Oryzias latipes: one gene and its partners. The protein of the gene in region 1 interacts with the protein of each later gene in a biochemical or structural test. Links are inferred from orthologs where the notes say so. Each region holds a gene or a part of one and is shown in the gene's direction. Other genes may lie near its edges.

Evidence for each region. The genes of interacting proteins can lie anywhere in the genome.
Region 2: the proteins of heat shock protein HSP 90-alpha (region 1) and hif1a form a complex in vitro, tested with the Homo sapiens proteins (4 studies listed by BioGRID and IntAct, with this or other methods). The link is inferred for Oryzias latipes from reciprocal best matches to the Homo sapiens genes HSP90AA1 and HIF1A.
Region 3: the proteins of heat shock protein HSP 90-alpha (region 1) and ppid form a complex in vitro, tested with the Homo sapiens proteins (2 studies listed by BioGRID). The link is inferred for Oryzias latipes from reciprocal best matches to the Homo sapiens genes HSP90AA1 and PPID.

What each region holds. Positions count from the first base shown.
Region 1 is NC_019882.2:17,293,748-17,300,348, forward strand, and holds the start of heat shock protein HSP 90-alpha, read left to right. Parts: upstream 1-2,212; 5' UTR 2,213-2,372; intron 2,373-3,235; coding exon 3,236-3,385; intron 3,386-3,671; coding exon 3,672-4,038; intron 4,039-4,121; coding exon 4,122-4,255; intron 4,256-4,338; coding exon 4,339-4,662; intron 4,663-4,744; coding exon 4,745-4,910; intron 4,911-4,999; coding exon 5,000-5,190; intron 5,191-5,268; coding exon 5,269-5,416; intron 5,417-5,498; coding exon 5,499-5,767; intron 5,768-5,846; coding exon 5,847-6,180; intron 6,181-6,268; coding exon 6,269-6,378; 3' UTR 6,379-6,601. Other genes in the region: heat shock protein HSP 90-alpha 1, read left to right, coding at 1-132, 246-436, 518-665, 748-1,016, 1,104-1,437, 1,531-1,640. UniProt on the Homo sapiens protein: Molecular chaperone that promotes the maturation, structural maintenance and proper regulation of specific target proteins involved for instance in cell cycle control and signal transduction.
Region 2 is NC_019880.2:11,957,067-11,963,065, reverse strand, and holds the end of hif1a (hypoxia-inducible factor 1-alpha), read left to right. Parts: coding exon 1-74; intron 75-422; coding exon 423-532; intron 533-981; coding exon 982-1,184; intron 1,185-1,356; coding exon 1,357-1,463; intron 1,464-1,643; coding exon 1,644-1,791; intron 1,792-1,921; coding exon 1,922-2,211; intron 2,212-2,299; coding exon 2,300-2,505; intron 2,506-2,596; coding exon 2,597-2,719; intron 2,720-2,824; coding exon 2,825-3,078; intron 3,079-3,153; coding exon 3,154-3,253; intron 3,254-3,333; coding exon 3,334-3,421; intron 3,422-3,494; coding exon 3,495-3,658; 3' UTR 3,659-4,573; downstream 4,574-5,999. Other genes in the region: serine protease HTRA2, mitochondrial-like, read right to left, coding at 4,785-4,950, 5,047-5,142, 5,216-5,285, 5,353-5,461, 5,956-5,988.
Region 3 is NC_019868.2:1,145,007-1,150,851, forward strand, and holds part of ppid (peptidyl-prolyl cis-trans isomerase D), read left to right. Parts: intron 1-2,536; coding exon 2,537-2,725; intron 2,726-4,677; coding exon 4,678-4,800; intron 4,801-5,248; coding exon 5,249-5,355; intron 5,356-5,845. UniProt on the Homo sapiens protein: PPIase that catalyzes the cis-trans isomerization of proline imidic peptide bonds in oligopeptides and may therefore assist protein folding. Proposed to act as a co-chaperone in HSP90 complexes such as in unligated steroid receptors heterocomplexes.

The sequences.
Region 1 (6,601 bases):
CCCTCCTCTTTGTACCGAGAAGAGCTGCCTTTGACCTCTTCGAAAACAAGAAAAAAAGAAACAACATCAAGCTATACGTGCGCAGAGTATTTATCATGGACAACTGTGATGAGCTCATCCCAGAGTATCTCAGTAAGCAACACATGATAGTCACATATAGTCCTAATTTATAATCTTAACTATCTGTCATATTGCAGTGTAAAAAATAAGTTTAAAGTTGAACAAGGTTTCTTTTGTCCATTCAGATTTCATTAAAGGTGTGGTGGACTCTGAAGATCTGCCCCTGAACATCTCCAGAGAGATGCTGCAGCAGAGCAAAATCCTGAAGGTCATCCGCAAGAACCTGGTTAAGAAATGTCTGGAGCTCTTCACAGAGCTGTCTGAGGACAAGGACAACTACAAGAAGTTATATGAACAGTTCTCCAAGAACATCAAGGTAGCTTTGATGTGACGCCACAAACCTTTCTGAAAGGTGTATTCCAGTTCATTTCCACTAACATACTATGTCCCCCTTTAGCTTGGAATTCACGAAGACTCTCAGAACAGGAAGAAGCTGTCTGAGCTGCTAAGATACTACACCTCAGCCTCTGGAGATGAGATGGTTTCCCTCAAAGACTATGTCTCTCGCATGAAGGACAACCAGAAACACATCTACTATATCACTGGTGAGGCCTTGCTCCACCTGCATCTGAGCTGATTCTTCACCTGAGTGTTAGCAGATGGTTGACGTCATGTTTTGCGGTTTAGGCGAGACCAAGGACCAGGTGGCCAACTCTGCTTTTGTGGAACGCCTTCGCAAAGCCGGTCTTGAGGTCATCTACATGATCGAGCCCATCGACGAGTACTGTGTCCAGCAGCTGAAGGAGTATGATGGAAAGAATCTGGTTTCAGTCACCAAGGAAGGTCTGGAGCTGCCTGAGGATGATGAGGAGAAGAAGAAGCAGGAGGAACTCAAAACTAAGTTTGAGAACCTTTGCAAGATCATGAAAGATATACTGGACAAAAAGATTGAAAAGGTATGCTCTTGGAAAATGGGTTTACCTCATAAATTTTGATCAATCACCAGAATTTCATCATTAAAAACTTTGTTTCTCCTTCCACAGGTCACAGTTTCCAACCGCCTGGTCTCCTCCCCATGCTGCATCGTCACCAGCACCTATGGCTGGACGGCTAACATGGAGAGGATCATGAAATCCCAGGCCCTAAGGGACAACTCCACCATGGGATACATGACAGCCAAGAAGCATCTGGAGATCAACCCACTCCATCCAATCGTCGAGACACTACGGGAGAAGGCTGAAGTGGACAAGAATGATAAAGCAGTGAAGGATCTGGTTATCCTGCTGTTTGAGACCGCCCTGCTGTCTTCAGGATTCACCCTGGAGGACCCTCAAACACATGCTAACCGCATCTACAGGATGATCAAACTGGGTCTTGGTATGTTTTACTTCCTATATACCTGCAAACACAATTACAATTCCCACAGTTCAGATTGGTTGGTTGCTAAAGAATGCTGTCTGGTTTTTGTAGGAATTGATGATGACGACTCTGCAGTTGAAGACATCATTCAGCCGACTGATGAAGATATGCCAGTATTGGAGGGAGATGATGACACATCAAGAATGGAAGAAGTTGACTAAATGTTTTTTTCAGGCCTTTCAAAGGTTTTTTATTTTATTTTTGTAACATGTGTTGTATTGCCTGGACAAAACAAATACAGACATTAATTGACTTTTGCCAAAATGGAAACACTGTATATAGAAACATTTAAAAACTCAATTCGCTATATAAAAAGTTTCTCAGCTTTCACTTGTGTTTCTTTTGTAACTTTTACATTTTGTATGTAAAACTTTAAAATTTTTAATAAAATATAATGGTTAGAGCCTTTTGTCTTTTTTAACCTAATGCATGCTAAACTTTAAAATATTCAAAGCCAAAAATGTCAAATACCAATTCTGCAAATGTGAAGCACATTTTAATTAAGAAAGTTCGTAACTTGAAAAGGTTTTTCTTTCTAGTTCTGGAATTTTCAATGCACACAGCGTGGTTCTTTCTAGATCCCACTCCTACACGTGTTCCTCGCTTGGTATAGTCTCTCCACATTCTCCACCTACCAACACCAAATATGGTGAAATGGGCGGGGACCGGGCGTTGACAGACGTGTAGCTCAGCCTATCAGCGAGCACCACCAAGCCGCAGCCGGGAGGATTCCAGACGCTTCTGGAAGCCCCCGTCAGGGTTTTTTCTCGAAGCCTCTGAAAGAGTACAAATAGCGGAGAGACGAACGGCGGGACAGATTTTGAAGCAGTGGAGCGACGAAAGCGAGAAACAGCGATCAATAGCGGAGCATTCCACTCCCACGGAGGACCAAGGTAAATGATGCACTCACAATGAGCTGCAGGACTCGTCGTGATTAGAGACTAAAATAAGGTTCTTAAATCTGTTAACTTTGCACACTTCGTTGATTATTAGGGTGAATTACTTTTTAAGCATTTAGCCACAAACTATTTACTCAAATGTTTAATTTTTCTCTAAGGGTTAATAAAGGAACCACTTTTTTTGTCCAGTCGAGTGGTAATGATGAGATGCTGCTGCCCTGCATGTGTCAGCAGTATAACATTATGCGCTTACGGGTTATTTAATTGTTGTTGTTATAGTTTTAAGCCGTTGTTTTAGCCGGGCGAGCTGGTCCCGGTATTTTATTTTATTTTTTTGTGCGGACATCTCATTCATACGAACTCTGAAAACGGTTGATGAGAGCAGCGACTTTCTGCTCCTCGTGAAGCTGCGCGTGCTCTGCTCTCCTCCTGGTACCTTCTAGAAACTCGCCTTACGCTGGGTAACCAGCAGAGGGCGACACTGCTGCGCAAATGGAAGAGATGGAGAAAAAGGCCATTGGAGACTTGTTCAAAAGATTTTTCAAATTTAATTAAATATTTAAAATGTAAACAATTTTTTTTATATTTTTGAGATTTTTAGTTTCGGACTTGGTGAACTGAAAACCAATTTTAAAGGAGGATTATAAAAGGGGATTGTATATCTGAATTTTAAGGATTAGAATTATTATTTTTTTTTTCAAAATAATAGACTCTACTTTACCAGATTACTCATTTTTTGTGTCCCTCATTCTATTAAACCCACTATCTTGACTATAAAGCTGTTTGTGTTTGGAACAATAACTAAAGGTTAATTTTTAGTTAACTTAAGCTAAAGGATATATTTTCTTGTTACTCAGATGCCTGAGATGCATGACCAACCAATGGAGGAGGAGACTGAGACCTTCGCATTCCAGGCTGAGATCGCTCAGCTTATGTCCTTGATCATCAACACCTTCTATTCCAACAAGGAGATCTTCCTCAGAGAGCTTATCTCTAACTCCTCAGATGTAAGTTTACACAAGCCTAAGATTTTTTTCTATATTTCATCTGCACTGAATCTAATGCTAATTTATTAAATTCACTGATTATTCTTGGACAGTTTCTTCTTAGGCAGTGCTCATTGGGCTTTGTCTCTTTTTGATTGAATTTTTTTTTTTTTTTTTATCTGCTTTTTATTTTTATGAATTTAAATTCCATTTAAATCCCATAGAATTGCATTTTGGCTGCAGTTGTACTAAATGAAAAGTGAGCAGGTCGTCTAAAAGGAAGTTCATGGATCCGTTGTTCCGACAGGCTTTGGACAAAATCCGTTACGAGAGCCTGACTGACCCCGCCAAGCTCGACTCGGGAAAGGAACTCAAAATCGAAATCACGCCAAACAAACAGGAGCGGACGCTGACCTTGATGGACACGGGAATCGGAATGACCAAAGCGGACCTGATCAACAACCTGGGAACCATCGCCAAATCTGGAACTAAAGCATTTATGGAGGCTTTACAAGCCGGAGCCGACATCTCCATGATCGGGCAGTTCGGCGTGGGCTTCTACTCTGCATATTTGGTGGCTGAGAAGGTGACGGTCATCACCAAACACAACGACGACGAGCAGTACGCTTGGGAATCCTCTGCTGGAGGCTCCTTCACAGTGAAACTGGACAATTGTAAGTAATGTGAGGCTTTTGAATGTCAGCTTCTGGTGTTTGTGGTTCTCGTGTGCTGACTGACTCTTGGTTTCAATGTCTAGCTGAGCCTTTGGGCCGAGGAACCAAAGTGATCCTCCACCTGAAAGAAGATCAGTCAGAATACCTGGAGGAGAGGAGGATCAAGGAGATTGTGAAGAAACACTCTCAGTTTATCGGCTACCCCATCACACTCTTTGTACGTATCAGAACCCTGTATTTTACTTCGAGGGGATGTATTCTGATCCGAGTGAGCTGAAACTGTTCCTTCTGTGGTTGCAGGTGGAGAAGGAGCGGGACAAGGAGGTGAGTGACGACGAGGCTGAGGAAGAGGAGAAGGAGAAAGACAAGGAGAAGAACGAGGAAGAGAAGGATGAGGACAAACCTGAGATTGAGGATGTGGGGTCAGATGAAGAGGATGACCATGACAAGTCCTCAGACAAAAAGAAAAAAAAGAAGAAGATCAAGGAGAAGTACATCGACCAGGAGGAGCTGAACAAAACGAAACCACTGTGGACCCGCAACCCAGACGACATCACCAACGAGGAGTACGGGGAGTTCTACAAGAGTCTCACCAACGACTGGGAGGATCACCTGGCTGTCAAGGTTGGTGATTCAGATGGAAGTTGAGGGGAAATCTGGTCTCAAGGGAAACATTTTCTGAACCCCCCCTTTCCTTCCTCTGTAGCATTTTTCAGTGGAAGGGCAGCTGGAGTTCCGTGCCCTCCTCTTCGTGCCCCGCCGTGCCCCCTTTGACCTGTTTGAGAACAAAAAGAAGAAGAACAACATCAAGCTTTACGTGCGTAGAGTCTTCATCATGGACAACTGTGATGAGCTCATCCCTGAGTATCTCAGTAAGTGTCCGGACCTGCTGGATTCTATTCTAATCTGAGGTGAGCGGGGAGCAAAATGACTAAACTGAATTCTACTTTTCATTTGTCAGATTTCATCAGGGGTGTGGTGGACTCTGAAGATCTGCCCCTGAACATCTCCAGAGAGATGCTGCAGCAGAGCAAAATCCTGAAGGTCATCCGTAAGAACCTGGTTAAGAAATGTCTGGAGCTCTTCACAGAGCTGTCTGAGGACAAGGACAACTACAAGAAGTTATATGAACAGTTCTCCAAGAACATCAAGGTAGCTTTGTGACGCCACAAACCTTTCTGAAAGGTGTATTCCAGTTCATTTCCACTAACATACTATGTCCCCCTTTAGCTTGGAATTCACGAAGACTCTCAGAACAGGAAGAAGCTGTCTGAGCTGCTAAGATACTACACCTCAGCCTCTGGAGATGAGATGGTTTCCCTCAAAGACTATGTCACCCGCATGAAGGACAACCAGAAACACATCTACTATATCACTGGTGAGGCCTTGCTCCACCTGCATCTGAGCTGATTCTTCACCTGAGTGTTAGCAGATGATTGACGTCATGTTTTGCGGTTCAGGCGAGACCAAGGACCAGGTGGCCAACTCTGCTTTTGTGGAACGCCTTCGCAAAGCCGGTCTTGAGGTCATCTACATGATCGAGCCCATCGACGAGTACTGTGTCCAGCAGCTGAAGGACTTTGATGGCAAGAACCTGGTTTCAGTCACCAAGGAAGGTCTGGAGCTGCCTGAGGATGAGGAGGAGAAGAAGAAGCAAGAAGAAAAGAAAGCTCAGTTTGAGAACCTTTGCAAGATCATGAAGGACATCCTGGAAAAGAAGGTTGAGAAGGTAAGCAGAAGAACGCTTCTTTGGATGGCGGGGGGGTCTCCTGGTAGGATGCAGTCCTAATGCTTTAGTCCTTCCACAGGTCACAGTGTCCAACCGCCTGGTCTCCTCCCCATGCTGCATCGTCACCAGCACCTACGGCTGGACGGCTAACATGGAGAGGATCATGAAGGCCCAGGCGCTGCGCGACAACTCGACTATGGGATACATGGCTGCTAAGAAGCACCTGGAGATCAACCCCGACCATCCCATCATGGAGACTCTAAGGCAGAAGGCTGAGGCCGACAAGAATGACAAATCGGTGAAGGATCTGGTTATCCTGCTGTTTGAGACCGCCCTGCTGTCTTCAGGATTCACCCTGGAGGACCCTCAAACACATGCTAACCGCATCTACAGGATGATCAAACTGGGTCTTGGTAAGGAGTCCATCAAAAAGTTCAATATTTGAGTTTGTGTTTTATATCCTGATAGATTTTTAACTAATATTTTTCATTTTTACTGCAGGCATTGATGAGGACGACACACCGGTAGAAGAAACCACTTCTGCTCCCACTGAGGACATGCCGCCTCTGGAAGGCGACGACGACGCGTCCAGAATGGAGGAGGTGGACTGATCGGTCGGCTGCAGTGTTGAGATAGTTCCATGTACAGTTCAAATGTTAAAACGAGTTGTCATCATTTCTTTCCTTATTCCTCACGTGTTTGCATTTGCTCATTCAGAGCTGTTCTGAAACTCTTTATTCTTCAGATGTAACAATGTAATTGTTTTTGTATTTATTGACATTCTAATGTTGCTCTAATTTGTAAATATTACTGGAGGTTGGAATACCAGAGCAC
Region 2 (5,999 bases), on another chromosome or scaffold:
CGGGCACAATGTGTTTGACTACACACATCCCTGTGACCAGGAGGAGCTTAGGGAGATGTTGGTGTACAGAACAGGTGAGCTGCAGCAACTTCAGAGGAAAACCAACTCCTGCATCCCAGATGTAACGTTGATAAGAAGAGTTTTCTCACATCGTGATGAGCAAACATGTTTTACCTTTGATTTGCTGCTGGGTGTTGATGTTAATTACATTTAGCTAAGAAAATGATTTTTACTAAAATGAGCTTTTTGGAGCAGATTTGCTGCCTCCAGCCCAACCCCCCCCTCCCCCCCCCCTCATTTTTAATCAGTCTTCACCCCAGTGAAAGTATGTATGTAGCTCAGTGCCTCCTCTTTGTAGCTGCTTGAAATGTAACTCTGGTTTACTTCTGTCAACTCAAGCTCAACATTTCTTGTGTGTTTAGGCTCCAAGAAAGCAAAAGAACCAAATCCAGAGCGCAGCTTCTTCCTCCGAATGAAGTGTACACTCACCAGCAGAGGGCGCACCGTCAATGTCAAGTCAGCTACATGGAAGGTTGGGGTCATTTTCAAGTCATAACAATATTTTAGGTCAGAACGTCAATGTCAGTTTCAATAGTGATAGACATGTGGTCAAGTTTATCAGGTTTTTTTCATGTTTAGTTTTTATTGAGTGTGAGGTTTTATTTGTTTAACCTTCTAGAAGCTGCATGACTGGTTAATGTGAGGCCTGTTCTGTATCAGTGCGACTGTAATAAGATAATAATGAAGTTACACAATAATCATAATGAGATTGCATTCATTGCCTTTTGAACACACTTCAGTTGGCAGGATCACAAAGCAGATAAACGACACATTTGGTATTGATATATTGTAAATTTAAGAAGGGGATTTTTTTTTTCTTTTTCTTTTAGAATATAGATAGGTGAAATGTTTGTATCCAAAATAAAGGAAAGCATTTTGTTGTCCTATACTGAATGTGTTTTTACTGTTTTGTGCCTGCAGGTGCTTCATTGCTCAGGTCGCGTGCACGTTAACAGCGTTGAAGCTGAGCAGAACAGTAACGGACAAAAAGAGCCTCCTGTTCCGTACCTGGTTCTGATCTGTGACCCAATCCCCCACCCCTCCAACATCGAGGTCCCTTTGGACACCAAGACCTTCCTCAGCCGCCACACAATGGACATGAAGTTCACTTACTGTGATGAGAGGTGGGTTTTTTTTTGTTGTTTTGTCTCCTCCTCCTCCTTTTAATACAGTAAGAGCAAAAGGTTAAGAGTGTGAACTCATTTAAAACATTTGTAACCACACAGAGCCCCCTACTGTTCAGTACTGGTACTGAAAGTCTAGACCTAAAGAAAATCTTTGTTTTGTTTAATCCAGGATCACTGAGCTCATGGGTTATGACCCAGAGGACCTTATGAATCGCTCTGTGTATGAGTACTACCACGCTCTGGACTCAGACCATCTCACTAAGACTCACCAAAACTGTAAGTAAAACAGTTTTGTTTTAAAAAAATTAAAACCAAAATTTAAACTTTAGCTTCTGTTTTAATAATATTTGAAATATATATATATATATATATATATATATATATATATATATATATATATATATATATATATATATATATGTGTTTTTAAATCAGTTAATTTTTTTATGCTTGTAGTGTTTGCTAAGGGCCAGGTCTGCACGGGTAGATACCGGATGTTGGCCAAGAGTGGAGGCTTTGTGTGGGTCGAAACACAAGCCACCGTTATCTACAACACCAAGAACTCTCAGCCGCAGTGTGTTGTTTGTGTCAACTTTGTGCTCAGGTACTGTGAAGTCTCTGCAGATTGGACAGTTGCGTCTTTAGAGAAGACATAATCATCAAAGCATTCGCAGAAGATTTTTCTTTGCTGCAGATGTAACTTTCCTGTCTTATGCTTTTTTTTTTTTGAACAGTGGAATCCAAGAAGAGAAACTGATCATGTCTCTGGAGCAGATTGAGGATGTGAAATCGGTGAAAGAGGAGCCGCAGGAGGCAGGCGAGGTTGGAGCTGAGAGCGACAAGACTGCATCAACGACGGCAGAAACTGGACCGGAGCAAGAACTGATAAAGCCCTTTAAGAAGATGATGGAGTCAGAACCGTTTGACACACTGTATGACCAGCTGAAGGAGGAGCCTGAGGCCCTCACCCTGCTCGCTCCAGCAGCTGGAGACACAATCATCTCCCTGGATTTCAGCCAGCCTGGTGTGTAGATCTATAACCGCATTCAGAAATGTTCATTATTAGCATCAGTGAACCCATTCTCACTCTGGTTCCGATTTTCCTGGTGAAGAACCAGAACCAGAGATCCACTTGCTGAAGGACACTCCTCTCTACAATGATGTGATGCTGCTCTCCACGAGTGACAAGCTGGCTCTTCCTCTGTCCCCTCTGCCGCCCAGCGAGGTTCTCGGTCTGTCCAACACACCTGATGAGGCCAAACCTGAGAGTCCCAGCGAAGCCCCACCCAACACATTGATCCCGGACAGTCCGGCGCAGGTGGGTCGGCTTGAAAAGCATATTTATTAAAAGTATTGACTATTTTGTTTTTTGAAGAGGGGACAATGGAAAGGGTTTTTTTTTATTGTAGACCGCCAGTCCGATAGACTTTTGCTTCCCCATGGATTCAGAAGTGAACTCTGAATTCAAACTGGATTTGGTGGAGAAGATGTTTGCCATCGACACCGAATCCAAAACCCCATTCACCACACAGGTAATCATCAGCTTTTACTGTATTTGTAGCGTCTTTATTTAGTTATCATCAAACCAAAACTGTCAAGAACTCTCATTGATTGAACTGCTTTGATCCCTAATGTTGACGGAGGACTTGGATCTGGAAATGTTGGCTCCCTACATCTCCATGGACGATGATTTCCAGCTGCCCTGTGTCGCCGTGGAGGAGCCACAGTCTTCTGGAGCAGCCAAACCCCTGAAGCCTTCTCCGGTTGGTGTTACACAAGACGCCCTCAGCTATCCCAGCTCCCATTTCAGCCCACTTAGCGGTTGCACGGCCTCTCCAGGGCCTCCTGACACTGCCAGCACCGCGTCTCTGCCCACCGAGACACTGGACAGGTGACGTCTCCAAACGTGAACAACTTCCGTCACATTTTAGAACAGCTGGTTAAATGGAATGTTTCTCTGCTGCAGAGCTGGAAACCTGCAGAAAGATGTCCACCTCTGCAGTCTAGCAGCTCCAAACACGCAGCGTAAAAGAAAGCTGAGTGATCTAATGGAGATCATCGAACAGGTAAGTCCACCTTAAATAGTTGATGTAACTTCACTTCCACAGATTTCAGGTAAACCATTTTTATTTGATGTTCCTCTCAGGGACCTTTGCCCAAGGAGTCAGAGAAAGGCAAAAAACTAAAAGCATCAGAGCTGGGAACAACCAGGACTGTCCTTTTGGTATCATCAGGTAAGAAAAATAAAAAAGACTGGGTCGGTTTCATTGTAACATGTCAGCTGAAGTTGATGTCTCTCTGACGTAGATTTGGCAAGTCGGCTGCTTGGCACCACTTCCGAGAGCTCCAGTTCTCCCTTCACTCTGCCGCAGCTCACTCGCTATGACTGCGAGGTCAACGCCCCTTTACAAGGTCGCCAGTGCCTCCTGCAGGGGGAGGAGCTTCTGCGGGCTTTGGACCACGTCATCTGAGCCGGTCTCTCCCTGCTGGACTGACTGGACACTACAACGAGTCCCTGACATTTTCATCCCCCCTCCTTCCTTCCCGCCCTCCACCCCACACTTCCTTATTTATGTATCCGTACGAGTTCGACTATTTAGTCCGGCTGCTGTTCGTGCACATCGTGTGATATTTGCAGCATTCCACCAAGACAAACACCACAGCAGCAGTGTGGGTTTTTATTTTTTGGGTTCGTGGGATTGTCGTAGTTCTTGGTTCATTTGTTTCTCCCTCTTCCTAGGGGGGGAGGGGTCTCTCAGCACACAGCGCCTTGACAGGTGACCCGTCTGCAACGGGTCACCATAGAACCTGGCGCTACTGCCAGCAGTGTATTGTAAGCTTCAGTCGCACAATTTCTATTTTCTTAAAGAAAAAAATGACTACCAGCAATATATATTAAGCCTTTTTAACGTAGTTTTAATGGGATATAAACAGTTCTATTTTTTTCTTCCCATACTTGTATGTTGTAGTACTCGTACCTAGAAAGATATGGCTTAAACCTGAAGTGGGTTGAATGTTTCCATTTAATGGCTGTCTTTGATCTAAACACAATTGTGTAGCAGTCTAGTACAAGTCACTTTATTTGTTGTTACTGTACATATACCAGGGAAATGTGTTCAGTGTGGCTTCACAGCTTGGTGTGAAGTTTTATCTCATGCAGGATTTACTTTTTTTTTTTTTTTTTTAAACATGAATTGGATTCATGGTTTTAGTCATTTGTGTGACGTTCTCAAAGCGGTCAGTTCTAATCCCATTTTGCTCATGTACATCCTAACACTTTCTTGCTCACTTAATGGTAGTCCATTTAATACCATTTCTTCTTGCCGTAGTTTTGAGTCACTCATGCTACTTTTGCTGTTTAACAATAAATGGCTTTAAAAGAAAAATAGGAGCGTTTGCAGTTGACCTTTTTATTTAACAAACAGTGCATTATGGGTCGGGGAAGACAAACATTTCAAATTAGATGTTTCATTTCTCAGAGTTATTAAAATGGCATCTGTGCTACTCAAAGGGAAACTTAAACGAAGAGTCTGTGTTCACATTTCCTCAGTGTGCCAGCAGGGAAGGCAGACATGACGCCTGTCCGTCTCCATCCTGTTACTCGATGAATTCAGGAGTCACTTGCAGTCGCAGCAGCTCCTTCCCTCTCTGCACCAGCATGGTGATCCTGTCGCTGCTGCGGACCGCCTTGTAGATCTCCTCTGAGGTGTTGACTTTAACGCCGTTGATCTCCACTACGATGTCTCCTGCTAGCATGCCGGCTCTGAAACGCACAAAGCAGCCCGAGGGAGAAATGAGTGGCACTTGAATGCATCACCTGCAATCTGGGTCATACTCGACTTCCCTTACAGCGCTTTACCTGCTAGCAGGCGAGCCAATGATGACTCTGTGGATCAGGATGCCATGCGTCACGTTGGGGAACATGGGGTCTCTCAGCTGCAGCTCAGTGATGATGCTACGGAGGGATTCAGACCAATATGGATTTAGATGCTCTGGTGATTTAAATATGCCGAAATCGCTGTGGTTACCTTGGAGTCAGCGTCAGCATCATAACTCCAATGTATCGAGCCTTAGTTCTAGATTCGCCAACTGAAGACTCTTAAAGAAAAAAACATAATCAGGTGTAGAGTCTGTACAGAAAACAGGAGGTCTTTTTATTTCTTACTGGTTTTCTTTGCTGCTTGATCAAGGAAGATTTTCAGCCGGTCAGATGGAATAGCAAATGAAATCCCAGCAGTGACCTTCATTGTGTTGATACCAATAACTTCCCCATCCTAAGAACAAGTGAGATATCAGTTACAACATGCAATCACGGGGCTGCATCTTATTTTTGTTTTTTAATTTAATCAACACCAAAACTATTGACTTAGTAATAAGACCAGGAGGAAGGAAGAGAAGAGCCTTGTGCCTTTCAGCTTAAAGCTGGCTTTAGGCAGAAACTGCAGCCGGGTCGGCTAACAGAGTCACTGCCAGATGGCTTCTTAAGTAGCTCAATCCCATTCATTTCAATAGAAAACTTTACAACAAAGAGAAAACTATTCCAAAACCTCATTCATGTTTAATACCTATGGCAAATATTAACATTAAGTCTCATTTTAATTTGAAAATGACCACATTAAAATGAATTAAATATAGATATTATTTAATGCTTGCATATGGTGCTCAATGTGTTGTTGTATTTGAGCTGAAAATCCGATCGAATTCAGTTTGAGGAAAACAAAACATTTGAATGCTTTTACTTCAATATTAAGCAAGAGCTGTGACTCACCAGATTAATCAGTGGACCTCCGGAATTTCCAAACTGCAAAAGAA
Region 3 (5,845 bases), on another chromosome or scaffold:
AGAGAGGGCAGCAGTGAGGGCAGCAGAGAGGGCAGCAGAGAGGGCAGCAGAGAGGGCAACAGAGAGGGCAACAGTGAGGGCAGCAATGAGGGCAGCAGTGAGGGCAGCAGTGAGGGCAGCAGTGAGGGCAGCAGAGAGGGCAGCAGAGAGGGCAGCAATGAGGGCAGCAGTGAGGGCAGCAGTGAGGGCAGCAGAGAGGGCAGCAGTGAGGGCAGCAATGAGGGCAGCAGTGAGGGCAGCAGAGAGGGCAGCAGAGAGGGCAGCAGAGAGGGCAGCAGTGAGGGCAGCAGTGAGGGCAGCAGTGAGGGCAGCAGTGAGGGCAGCAGAGAGGGCAGCAATGAGGGCAGCAGTGAGGGCAGCAGAGAGGGCAGCAGTGAGGGCAGCAGTGAGGGCAGCAGAGAGGGCAGCAGAGAGGGCAGCAGTGAGGGCAGCAGAGAGGGCAGCAGAGAGGGCAGCAGAGAGGGCAGCAGAGAGGGCAGCAGTGAGGGCAGCAGAGAGGGCAGCAGTGAGGGCAGCAGAGAGGGCAGCAGAGAGGGCAGCAGAGAGGGCAACAGAGAGGGCAACAGTGAGGGCAGCAGTGAGGGCAGCAGTGAGGGCAGCAGAGAGGGCAGCAGTGAGGGCAGCAGTGAGGGCAGCAGTGAGGGCAGCAGTGAGGGCAGCAGTGAGGGCAGCAGAGAGGGCAGCAGAGAGGGCAGCAGAGAGGGCAGCAGAGAGGGCAACAGAGAGGGCAGCAGAGAGGGCAGCAGTGAGGGCAGCAGAGAGGGCAGCAGAGAGGGCAGCAGAGAGGGCAGCAGAGAGGGCAGCAGAGAGGGCAGCAGAGAGGGCAGCAGTGAGGGCAGCAGAGAGGGCAGCAGAGAGGGCAACAGAGAGGGCAGCAATGAGGGCAGCAGTGAGGGCAGCAGAGAGGGAAGCAGAGGGCAGCAGAGAGGGCAGCAGAGGGCAGCAGAGAGGGCAGCAGTGAGGGCAGCAGAGAGGGCAGCAGAGAGGGCAACAGAGAGGGCAACAGAGAGGGCAGCAGTGAGGGCAGCAGTGAGGGCAGCAGAGAGGGCAGCAGTGAGGGCAGCAGTGAGGGCAACAGAGAGGGCAGCAGTGAGGGCAGCAGTGAGGGCAGCAGAGAGGGCAACAGAGAGGGCAGCAGAGAGGGCAGCAGTGAGGGCAGCAGAGAGGGCAGCAGTGAGGGCAGCAGAGAGGGCAGCAGAGAGGGCAACAGAGAGGGCAGCAGAGAGGGCAGCAGTGAGGGCAACAGAGAGGGCAGCAGAGAGGGCAGCAGTGAGGGCAACAGAGAGGGCAGCAGAGAGGGCAGCAGTGAGGGCAACAGAGAGGGCAGCAGAGAGGGCAGCAGTGAGGGCAACAGAGAGGGCAGCAGTGAGGGCAGCAGTGAGGGCAACAGAGAGGGCAGCAGTGAGGGCAGCAGAGAGGGCAGCAGCGTCATCCTGTCTATTTTCCAGACATATTAATGTCCTCATTAGTGAAGCTAATGTCATGATTGTCTGCACCGTCATGTTTTCCAGGAAGCAACCTACGGGAGTTTGACAGATTTACGTCATTGTATATTGATCACATTTTCCAAAATCAATCAGCAAGAATTGGATTTCTACCCACTATTAGATTTTGTAGGGACCCATTGTTACATCATTTCTGGTCGTCGTGAAAAAAAGCAAATGTCTGCAGCTCGTGCAGAGTTCAACCTTCTGAGCAGGTAGAAAGATGAAGCTCTGAACATCAGTTTTCATGTCTCTACTGGCTTACTACTCTACTTTTGGACACACTTCACTTTTATTACTAGTAAAGAACTGCGTTACTGTCCTGGAGCTGTTTAGACCTGTTTCTGGAGCTTCCTCCTTTAGGATTTTATCTGCTGTGGAGGTCAGTGGGACAGACTCAGACTGTTTTTATTTAGCTCTAACCAGGCCTGCACAGTAAATCGCAAATATGCATATCATGCATATACCTGCAATACGCATAGCGCAAAATACAGCAAAAATTGCGATAAATGCTTCCCCTAAATGTGCTAAGACAATTTTTTACGAATAAAAATAATTTCATTGATGCACTTGACCAATCAGATGGAGCCCTTCATGTTGGATGGTTGCCTCTCATAGACTAGTGTCATTTGTGGTATAATTTAAGTTATGTTGACTCTTATTTAAATGTAACTGTTGCAGCTAAATGGAAATGAGACTTTGAACTGTTTGTTCATGTATAGCAAGTTATATCGTCATGGCAACATAGATCACTAATATGGCAGATCACTTGATTTCCTCATATGGTGCAGCCCTAGCTTTAACCCTGTTATGCCATTGATCCCAATGAATCTTTTATTAATATTCTGATTTTTGTATGGATTTCTTCTTCTAATGTTCATGATGATGATTGTAGAAATGTGACAGTTCACTTGGGTTGTTATTCTGATGCAGTAATGTGTGTTTGTTATTAGGTGAGAAGATTCATTCCAGCTTTAGGATTCAGAGGGTGTGGTATTAAAAGGATGCATGGCTGTCTACAGGCGTCTGCTTTGTGTTTTCTCCTGCTGCAGCACGACAAAGTGGGTCTACTGAGCATGGCCAACGCGGGGCCCAACACCAACGGCTCCCAGTTCTTCATCACTACGGTGGCCACGCCGCACCTGGATGGAAAACACGTGGTGTTCGGACAGGTGCTGAAGGGAATGGGAGTGGTTAAAACGCTGGAAGCTGTTGAGACCGAGGAAGATGCTCCCGTCAAGGTGAGCTGATGAACACAATTCAGAATCTTCACCACATCATTTATTACTTTGGACAGTCTTCAATGTTTTGAAAAATAAAGGCCGGTCTTTTTCCGTTTCCCATCAAACACAGTATTCCACAGGAGGAGCTTAGATGCTGCAGAACTCTGGGAAAAGTACTTTCAGCAGTTTGTGATTCTGAAGTGGGAGGGGTTTCTGACACTGCTGGCCCCTCCCATCAGATATGTGAGGCCAATGACTGTATAAGAAAACTGGACTGAGTCCCCCAGCGTCCTAACAGGAAGTACCTGCTGGCTCCAGGAATCCCATAGACCTCTGGAGAGAAATAAACAGCTGTTAGATATTCTATTGGTCAGAAGAAGCGTTCTGGATTCTTTCTGATACCTTTGTAAACATGTTCTTATTAACCCTCATTTTTTCTGTAATGCATTTATTCAGGTTATAAACTGACCGATCAGACGCCTGAATAGTGTGTGGCCTCACTACGAATGTTGGAAACGTGTGATTGACAGGTTTTGTGTGGTAGGAGTGTAGACTTCTAACAAACTCACCCCTGATATGCCAGAGTGGTTGCCATAGAGATGGTGACTCAAGCCTAGATCAATCACGGCTTACTGATCTAGTCTGGCTCCTAGTTATGAGCAAATGGCAACTGAATGGACTTCAATTTGTTGGATCTGGTAGTTAGTCATCTTCTACGGATGATGTCACGCTCACTCGGTCCAGTGTGAGCCTCGCCATCTTTAGCCAGGTCCGGCTTTCAGGTCCTTCAGGTTTGGACTGTTCTTTCAGTTGGTTCTTTGCGATTTGGACCGCTGTCAGTTTGTCAGTCACACACACGGTTCTGGAACTCTGCTCCAGCTCTCAACATTCGTATGGTCAAGGCCCCCCCCCCCCATCACCATGGTAACCAGTGATTAGTTAGGAATGTAAACGTTTGTTGTGTTTATGCTGACTGGTTGGTTGTTTTTTTCTTTCTATTTTGCAGTTTGAGCTTAAATTGAGCTAAATAGTAAAGAAATGTGGGTTTTGAACATGCACTGATTGACTTCTTAGGTTCTTCTGTTATCAGACACGGTTGGTTTTTTTCACATACCTGACATGTTTCGCCAGACGTCTTCTGTCTTCATCCCGTACCGGTATGTTAAAAAAAACACACAACCCTTGTCTGATAACAGAAGAACCTAAGAAGTCAGTTAATAATACAGGCACTATGGACGGTATTGAACTAACGTGCATTGATGCGCAGCAGAGCTGAGTTTGGGGGTCGGACATCTTCCTCTAGGCCTCTTTCCTGGTAGCTCTAACCTTCCCAACATCATCGCCGTTCCTCCTCTCAACGTGTCCAAACCATCCCCGTCTGCTTCCCATGACGCTCTTTAGTCACACATCACACCTGAAACCTTCCTCCACCCACTGCACACGTCTCTTCAGGTGGATGAACTTTGGTCACTGACGGGATTTGTGCATCATTGCCAGATGCATTCTAGTGTTTGTCTTGCACCTCCATCACCCTTCTTTTCCCTCGAAGCTGCAACGCTCGATGAAGAACCGTGTGCTGCTGATTGATCAGAATGTCAGTGATGTTCAGCTGCCGCTCTGCTGTCTGCCCTCCTCTTCACACTGCAAACTGATGAGAAATTCAGCTGATGAAGAGCACAAAGCTGTTGTGTTCCTCTGCGTGGAAGTGGAACTATGTACTTCCCTGCTTCCTGTCTCGTCTTTATTCTTTGGTGAGATTCTGTCTTGGAAGGTCCAGTTGTTTTTTTCTGGTTTCTCAGAAAGCTACTACTTTTTTTTTAACAGTAACAAAAAAAGCAACTGTTGGCATTTCTGACAATCAGCTCCCACCCTTCCTCCATACTGACGCTGTTCCTGAACGCCACATTCCGATGACTGTCCCTGCCTGGACTCCCACAGGAATGTCTGAATCCAGGTTTCTGTCTGTGCAGCCTTGTGTCATCGCTGACTGTGGGGAGCACAAGGACGGCGACAGCTGGGGCGCCCCAGCGGGCGACGGCACGGGAGACGCCCACCCAGACTTCCCCGAGGACTCGGACGTGGACTTTAAAGACGTGAGTGTCACAGCGGGCTTTGATCTTCAAGGACTCTGCTTCCGTCTGGCAGATGGGATCAGACGGCGCTGAGAGGACCAGCACGCCACTTCTGGAAATGTTTGTCACTGACTGCACAATCAGGCAGCAGGGCAGATAAGAAGAGACTTTGGTGTGTTTTGGATTACATTTTCTGTGTTTGATGCTGCGAGTGCATTTAAATCAATTCAATGGCAGGTTTGCTGAATATTTGCTTTGATGTTATTGGAGTTTCTGTCTTGTTTTTCCACCGTCCTGTCCAGTAGACTTTCAGGGTTGTAATGATTTTTGTTTTTCTAACTTTGTCCCCCTAAGAAAGAACAATATTGCCTGAAGCTGTAGAAATAAACAGATTGAATCATGTATATTTTGAAAATGAAAAAGCCGATTTAAGCCCCTCCACTGTTGTTTAATCTTCTTCTCCTTTCAGGTTGACAAAGTTCTGTCAGTTGCTGAAGACGTGAAGAATATTGGAAACAGCCTTTTTAAGAACCAGGACTGGAAAGCTGCAGTCAACAAATATAGTAAAGCCCTTAGGTAAAGCACACTGAAGTCTGTGTGTGTGTGTGTGTGTGTGTGTGTGTGGGTGTGTGTGTGTGTGTGTGTGTGTGTGGTTGACTTTCAGACAGTCACGCTGACTTACAGGTGGGCATTTCAGATGCACACTTTCAAGGCAGCCGTGAAATGAGTGATAATCTGCCTAAAATGAAACGACTTTCAAACGCTGAGTCCAAAATCAGCTTGAAGAGCCACGCAGCAGTTAAGCATCGAGTGGACGGCCGGCTGGACGCTATCGCCTGCACCCTGTTCTTGGTCAACTAGATGTAAAGAACGGTGTTCACCCCTGCCTTTGTGTGTGATGTGGATGCAGGTTTCAGTCCCACCCAGTGATCAGAATGTTCTGTAGTGCCGTGCAGGTTTAAGGCATGATGCCCATGTTAGAAACTTGTCTGTGAGCTACACTGCTGGAAAGAGTTGAGCTGCTTTACTTCTCAATAGATGTATCTATGTGTTTTTTCAAAGCTGA